Danio rerio: one gene and its partner. The protein of the gene in region 1 interacts with the protein of each later gene in a pairwise test. Links are inferred from orthologs where the notes say so. Each region holds a gene or a part of one and is shown in the gene's direction. Other genes may lie near its edges.

The links. The genes of interacting proteins can lie anywhere in the genome.
Region 2: the proteins of usp19 (region 1) and siah2l interact in a two-hybrid assay, tested with the Homo sapiens proteins (2 studies listed by BioGRID). The link is inferred for Danio rerio from reciprocal best matches to the Homo sapiens genes USP19 and SIAH2.

Annotation. Positions count from the first base shown.
Region 1 is NC_133198.1:23,075,052-23,078,708, reverse strand, and holds part of usp19 (ubiquitin carboxyl-terminal hydrolase 19), read left to right. Parts: intron 1-3,240; coding exon 3,241-3,372; intron 3,373-3,657. UniProt on the Homo sapiens protein: Deubiquitinating enzyme that regulates the degradation of various proteins by removing ubiquitin moieties, thereby preventing their proteasomal degradation. Stabilizes RNF123, which promotes CDKN1B degradation and contributes to cell proliferation.
Region 2 is NC_133196.1:42,020,563-42,024,319, reverse strand, and holds the start of siah2l (E3 ubiquitin-protein ligase Siah2), read left to right. Parts: upstream 1-1,280; 5' UTR 1,281-1,425; coding exon 1,426-1,866; exon of another isoform or gene 1,867-1,868; intron 1,869-3,757. UniProt on the Homo sapiens protein: E3 ubiquitin-protein ligase that mediates ubiquitination and subsequent proteasomal degradation of target proteins.

The DNA of each region.
Region 1 (3,657 bases):
GTTATTGGTAGTTTGGTTATCTATATTTTTTTACATTGTAATTTGTATTCAAAATCTCATGCATCACTTTATCTTTTGTTAGAAAAGACATCCAACTAGGGCTGTGAGATTTGGGGAAAATATATAATTTATTTATATATTTATATATATTTTTTGTCAGATATTGTGATTTTGATTAGATTTGTGATTTAATTTTGTTGTCAAGCTTCAGCTCAATAATCTGTATCATAGTTTCTTACTGCTAAAATGCAGTGTTCATCAAAAAAAGGAACTGAAAAGATATTAACTTACTTAAATATTTATTCCAATTTTTTTTTCAAGTATTCAGAAAGAGTAAGCTGTAAACACGAATAAAATAACCTTATCGTTCTATAAACAAGTTGAACTTAAATTAGGGAGATAGTATAGCTTATTATACACTGTCAAGCGATAAGTGTCACTGGCATTACTTTCAGTTGACTTTTCAGCAAGACACTCCTCATATCACCTCAAAGCCTGTGGTGCTTTTTTAGTTGCTGGTTGTTGTATTTCCTCGTGCTGTGGCAACAATTCTATGACAGCTCCTACAAATGACCTGTTTTTGTTTGGTGTCTGTGACTTTAAAATCTAAATATTTCCATATTACCGATGTCCTGTTTTTGTTTGATATTCGTCTATTAAAGCTTCTGAAGCGGCAAACACCATCATTCCACTTGTCCGCATTTTTTGTCTGCATTTGTTTTTTTGTTTTTTTTATTGTGGTTGCTCCGCACTTCTGATTGGGTAGAACGAAAGTGTGCTCACTCAATTGGCTAGTAAGACTATGACACACTGATGGCAGCAGTCACGCATTTTCTCTGGGAGGGAGAAATGAAATAATATACATATATATTTCATATCACAGCCTCTAGTGATTAGCTAATTGCAGCGTTTCAAATTGTGATTTGATTTCAATTAATCGCACAGCCCTACATCCAACGTATGTGGTCAATTGTTTGGTCTCCGTTGCACTTACAAATTATTTACACACCACTTACTTTTGAATAATGGAAGGAGTGAGAATAAGAAAATAAAGAGCAGTTTATATGGCATTAAATTGGGTTTGTAAGTGACATAAACTTGTGTCACAAAGTGAAAAAAGCGTTCTATTCTGACTGACACACTCCTAAAGCAAATGTTCAGGAAGCCACTTTGTAGACAGCGTACACTCATGAGTTAGATATGCATATGATGTTAAATATAAGCTGTGGAAAAAAGCTCACCCGCTGACATACTAAACTTGAAGCAAATGCACAGAAAACCACACCTTGTACACATGCAATTGCAAGTCAAGATATTGTGTGTGTGTGTGTGTGTGTGCGTGTGTGTGTGCGTGCGTGTGTGTGTGTGTGTGCGTGTGTGTGTGTGTGCGTGTGCGTGTTTGTGTGCGTGTGCGTGTGTGTGTGTGTGTGTGTGTGAAAAAATCTTATTTTTGTGTGTCTAATTTATATTTTTATATGGTGAAATTAATATATGATTGTCAAATGCCCATCACATAAATTATCACATAAAAATGTCTCAAATTTATTGGATCTGTGCATTTGGCCGCAAAATCACAGTATATAATAAGCTTGTCTGTGTTAATAATGTTAATCAAATACTGTAATAGAAGACAAAACAGAAGACTAAGGGAAGATCAGACTTTGCGTTTGCATTTTTATTAAAAATTAGGTCATAATTAGTGTTTTTACTAGGAATGCTCTGATCAGAATTTTTTGCAGCTGATAAAGAGTAGCAATTCCTTGTTATGGATGAACGGCCGATACACTTACATTTAAACGTTTATTATAATAAGTTGTATAAAAAATTATCGAGTTAAAAATAATTAGTTTTTTTATTTTTTCTAATATTTCCAGCTAACTTTTAATGAACTTGCAATATTGTTCAAAACACTGTACTTTCAGTTCTTGTATGTAAAAAGATTTAACGTCTAATATGTCCTCTGCTTGTAAACTCATAAACCAACACTTTTGATCGGTTCATGAGATCGGCCAGATTACCAATCACGTAATGAAATGTAAATATCGGTCGATACCAATCTCTTGCTGATTGATCGGAGCATCCCTATTTATTACACATTTATTTTTACATTTCGTTTATTTGCTGTAGGAAATTCTAAAATGTCAAACCTACTGCTGCTGAAAAAAACCCTGTTCATTTACTTGATGTCTTTTTGTTTTAGTTTATATGTCACATTGTTATTTTCTTAGTACCAACAATCTGAGACAATTAGCACAATACATAACCATAAAATAAAATTTTACAGAACATGAAATTACATTTTGGGTCTTAACAGTTTTTCAAAACACCATTTAACACTGACTTCAACATTCCTTTCAGAGAAAACCATTCTAAAGCCTACATTCACCTCATCAGAAACAGCTTTCAGTTGGCAATAGCTGATGCAACTGTTGGTTTGGCAAATGTTCATGAGCGTATTGTTTGTTTAGCGTCGATGTGCCAGCCTGTTTCTAAGGCTGTGTCCGGTCTGCTGAGCTTGTTTGCTTCTGCAGTGCTGAAGTGCTGTAATCTAAGCCTGTGAGTCTCAGCTTCAATGAAGAAGGGCTTTGTCAAGGTCAGTGGAGTGGTTCTACCCAGCACATGCATGAGAAGACTTCACTTATGCTCCTTTTTATTTACACGATGCCCTCATTGGCCTCTCCACATACATTCGATACGAACACGCCATTGTCTTCTTCTCGTCGAAGTGTTGCATTTCATCTCTGCAAGAGCAGTGGACCACCCCTGCACGAACAGTAGGAGTCTATCTATGTAGTGCTGATTCCCCATCCTGCAAAGAAGCCTCATGGGATACTGGCGGAGAGGAGATGACATCATGTGAAATAAAAGCCCAGCTGTGGGGCGTTGCAATTTGGTGGTGACCTTTTAGATCTGCGTGTCACAGTGAGAGAGAGTAAAGTGACGGGACTAGCTGTCACTTGACCCTGCAGCTCGATCCTTCGAGATAAACACACACTCTTTCTTTCTCGGTCTTTCCTGATCTCTAACATGCACCTGCGTTTAATTCAGTAGCAGAGAAATTTGAAATCGAAAGCAGCTTGGCTTTCTGCTATGATCGGCTGAGGGATTTTGTGGTGTTATCATGAAATCAGGTTTGTTGTAAAATCATAGAAAAACACAGCTAATTGTATTCATTGGTATTAGTTTCTCACTGTGTTTGAGACCAGTGTAATCACTGTGTATGTTCTTTTCTCTGTGTAGACTTGTTTCTGGACTGGAAGCAGAATGCATACGAGGTGATAGTGAGGCTGAACTGTGGAGGTGCTGGGGTGCTGAGAGTAGAAGATATCGAGTATGACTTTTCAAATTCCGCCTGCCACATCCGGCTGCCAGGTAAGGGCATTGTGTGTTTGGGTCCCTCTTTTTTGGCTTTATCATTAATCAAATGTTTGGACCAGATTTAAATAGAATAAATAAAGGGATATTTCACCTAAGACTGAAAATTCTGTCTTAATTTACTCACCCTTTACTTGTTTCAAACCTGTTTGACTTTTTTTTTTTAGTAAACACAACTATTGACATCCATAGTTTTTTTCCCCTTGCTATAGAAGGCAGTATCTGCAGGTTTTTAGCTTTCTTCAAAATATCTTTTGTAGTTTTCAACTGAAAAAAGAAACC
Region 2 (3,757 bases), on another chromosome or scaffold:
ACGTGATTATGAAGTGACAGTAAAACATTCCATTGTGTTTAATTGATCAATTATTTATAATTTCTGTTCTTCAAAGAATCCTGGAAAGTAAAATGAAACTTGGTTTCTACAAAAACATAAAGCAGAAAGGATGCGTTCAACATTTAGCATAATGAAAACTATTATTATTGACTGAGCATGAACATTAATTGTAAATAAGCTTTATAAAAATAAGTGGAGTAACAGTGCTTAAAAATCTTTAATTCACTAAAATACCTCTTTAAAATTAAATAATATTTACTGTTTTTTTGCATTTCTAAACGAATAACACCTCATACTACCTCTGTAGTTACCTCATGCTACCTCCTTAATATTAAGACAGTGTCACTTTATCATATATCATATTTTTGCACTATATACTGTTTTGCATCTGCACAACTCCTGGTTTGCACTCCTTATCATGTGCCCTTAATTGAATTGTTTACAAATCTTAATTTTCACGTATATCTTTACATTATTTTATATGTGTAACATTAATTGTATTTATTGTAATTTCTATTTTAAAATGTAACTTTTTGTATCAATAATATCTGTTAGTCACCTAGGGTCTGAGAGTAACACAATTTTCAATGTATGTCCTGTAAGGGCAGCATAGTGGCGTAGTGTGTAGCACCGCAAGATGGTCGGTGGTTCGAGCCCCGGCTGGGTCAGTTGGCGTTTCCATGTGGAGTTTGTGTGGGTTTCCTGCGGGTGCTCCGTTTCCCCCACAAGTCCAAAGACATGTGGAATAGGTGACTTGTCCGTGGTGTATGTGTGTGAATGGATGTTTCCAGTGATGGGTTGCAGCTGGAAAGGCATTTGCTGCATAAAACATATGCTGGATAAGCTGATGGATAAGCTGGCGGTTCATTCCCCTGTGGGACTAAGCGAATGAACGAATGTATGTCCTGCACATGTGCTTGAATTGACAATAAAGTTGACTTTGACTTGCAGCCTCTGTGATGAGAAGATACTTCTTTCATTAACAACGAAAATGTTTCCAGAATGTTCACTGGTTCTGTTATTGATTCTTTCTCATTGTTTCTTTCCAACACGACAGTCTACTGATTACATAAAGCAGTGAAACATCGTGTGAAAGAACCACCGCGCAAATGTTTGCTGTTTACTTCACTACAGCCACTCACGCAATTACTACATATTCCGGCAACTCTTACATAAACCGCAGGAGCTACTCTCTGATTGGCTGAGGAGAGTGTCAATCAAACTTCCTTCACCCAATAGTCTCATTACTCGCTCTCAAACTATGGCGGCCATGTTGTATCCGCGGGGGATTGGAGGAGGCTACTCGGAACCGAGTCCGTGTTCAGTCGGGAGTGGACGGTGAGGCTCTCGGGCTTCAGCTACTCGGGGTTTTACACCATCAAACATCGACCGACACTCCTCGCCATGAGCCGTCCGTCCTCTGCGGGTGGAGCGGCCGGAGGACTCGGAGCTGGAAAAGCAGGAGGAAGTAAGCATGGAGGTTCTGGAGGAACAACTGCCTCTGCTGCCGCCGCCGCCGCTGCTGCCGCGGCCGCCGCAGCAGCTGCAGCCGCCGCGGGGGTGTCCGGCTCCGTCGCGGGTTCTGGTACGGTTCCCGCAGCAGCTGTAGCGCTTCCAGTCGCGGCTCTTCCGGGACAGTCCCCCGAGCTGACAGCGCTGTTTGAGTGCCCGGTGTGTTTCGACTATGTGCTGCCGCCGATCCTGCAGTGCCAGGCTGGGCATCTGGTGTGTAACCAGTGTCGGCAAAAGCTCAGCTGCTGCCCGACCTGTCGCGGCCCTCTCACGCCGAGCATACGGAACTTGGCAATGGAAAAAGTTGCATCTACTCTGCCGTTTCCGTGTAAGGTAAGAATTGCGCGTTCACGACTGTCATAATAACCAATGCAAAGTCGCCTGCAGTATTGTTTCAGTCAGCACTGCATGATGGCACGCATGAGTTTAGGAAGTGTAACTAAAACTCGAGATGCCACAGGTGCATTGGCTATCATATCAGATCAGTGTTTTTGTTTATGCTGCTGAAGTGTGTTTTTTCATTGGTTGAATATTATAGTCGGTCACTTAGGTAGTTAAATTGAGTTTTTAGTTGGATGAAATAACCGAAATTGAGAGACTTTAGTAATTTAGTGGCTTCAATATTGCTTCAACCAATGGCATCAGTTAGGAGGCGGGGCTTTGACTGTATCCAACCAATGGCTGGCTAAGGAGGCGTTGTGTATCGGGGAGACCTGTTTGAGAACAAACATTTTGTAATTTAGATGGTTGATGTTGAGGGCACATGTCTAAAAATTGAGACTGACATGGCTTAATCATGAAAACTAGTCCAATTTTATGATACTTTTGTTTTTTTATTTTATTTTTATGTTATTAATTATACTATAAAAAACTTTTGATCTACTTGAAGTGCTGTATATTGTAGATATCAGTCCATTTAATATAATGCAAGCTAAATTGACTGTCAAAGTTGAATTAAGGACAGCAACTACATTTTCTCTCAGTTGACTTGTCGTATTAGTAAATACTATTTGTTAGAAATGGCTATGCAATTTATCACACATATTTAAACCTTTTAAATCTTTTTATCCATTTTCTTAATTTTGTGAATCAAATTATTTTTGTTTTCGAGTTTGTTGTTACTTCCTTAATTATTTTATAATAGAATGCTGAACTTACCACATGTTGTGTGACAGTTGATGTGTAATAATAATCATGCTTAAAATAAAAATACAGAAAGCTTGATTTAATTGCATAAACTCAAACTCGTTTGTGCATTAATGCAATCACATATGAAATAATTTTTCTTTGTCACACTAACATCTCAATTTCAAGTAATACTTTTCTTTTGTGATTTATTCAGTCTATTGGCTAAATTGCAAATTACGCTGGATCACAAGTGGCTTTTTTACTGAATTTTCACCAAATCTCTGCAGTTGTTTAGTATGAAACTGACACGGACAGTTCACCCGAAAATGAAAATTCTGCCATCATTTACTCAGTTTGAGTTTTGTTGTTCTGTTGAACACAAAAGAAGATATTTTGAAGACTGTTGTAAATCATTGACTTCCATAATATCACATTTTCCTTCTATGAATTTCAATGGTTACTAGTTTCCAAAAGTTATCAACAGAAGAACAAAAAACAGGTTTGGAAGTCAAGGGTCATTAAATGATAGCAGAATTTTTTGTTTTTTTGGGTTGCACTATCCCTTGAATTAACCTCATTCATTCACAATTACACATCTAATTCTGAATCTAGAAATCTGACAAGAAACAAACATGACTTGATTTTCGAAATCTCACATTTTAGCAGCCCAGTTACTGAAACCATTGATTTGGTTCAGATGTTAGAAATCTTGTTTAGTATACCCACTACCAGAATAACTTTTTGTTGAATCTGAATTCACCCTAGATTAGTTCTAGCTCTCCACAGTTTTGAAAGTTTTCTTTTTATTGTGATTGACCTGAAACCCTTTTATTGCATCATCAGTGCATTAAAGTTGTATCCTCTGTTATCGCTGGCCTGTGAAAGTTGATCACTACTCTTGTTCCCTGGGCTAATGTTTCCTCCTTACAGTGGCTGTAATCAGGACGTGGCGACTGGTACTTGATGTAGAGCAGTTTCTAAAGTGATACCAGCCGTCAGCGAAGGAAAGTAGCCTTCAACGTTTGTGGTGAAAGTAAAGCTGCATCTGCTGCTTGTTTTTAAAAGGGCTTTGTCTGTTCTTCAATGGTCAGCTATA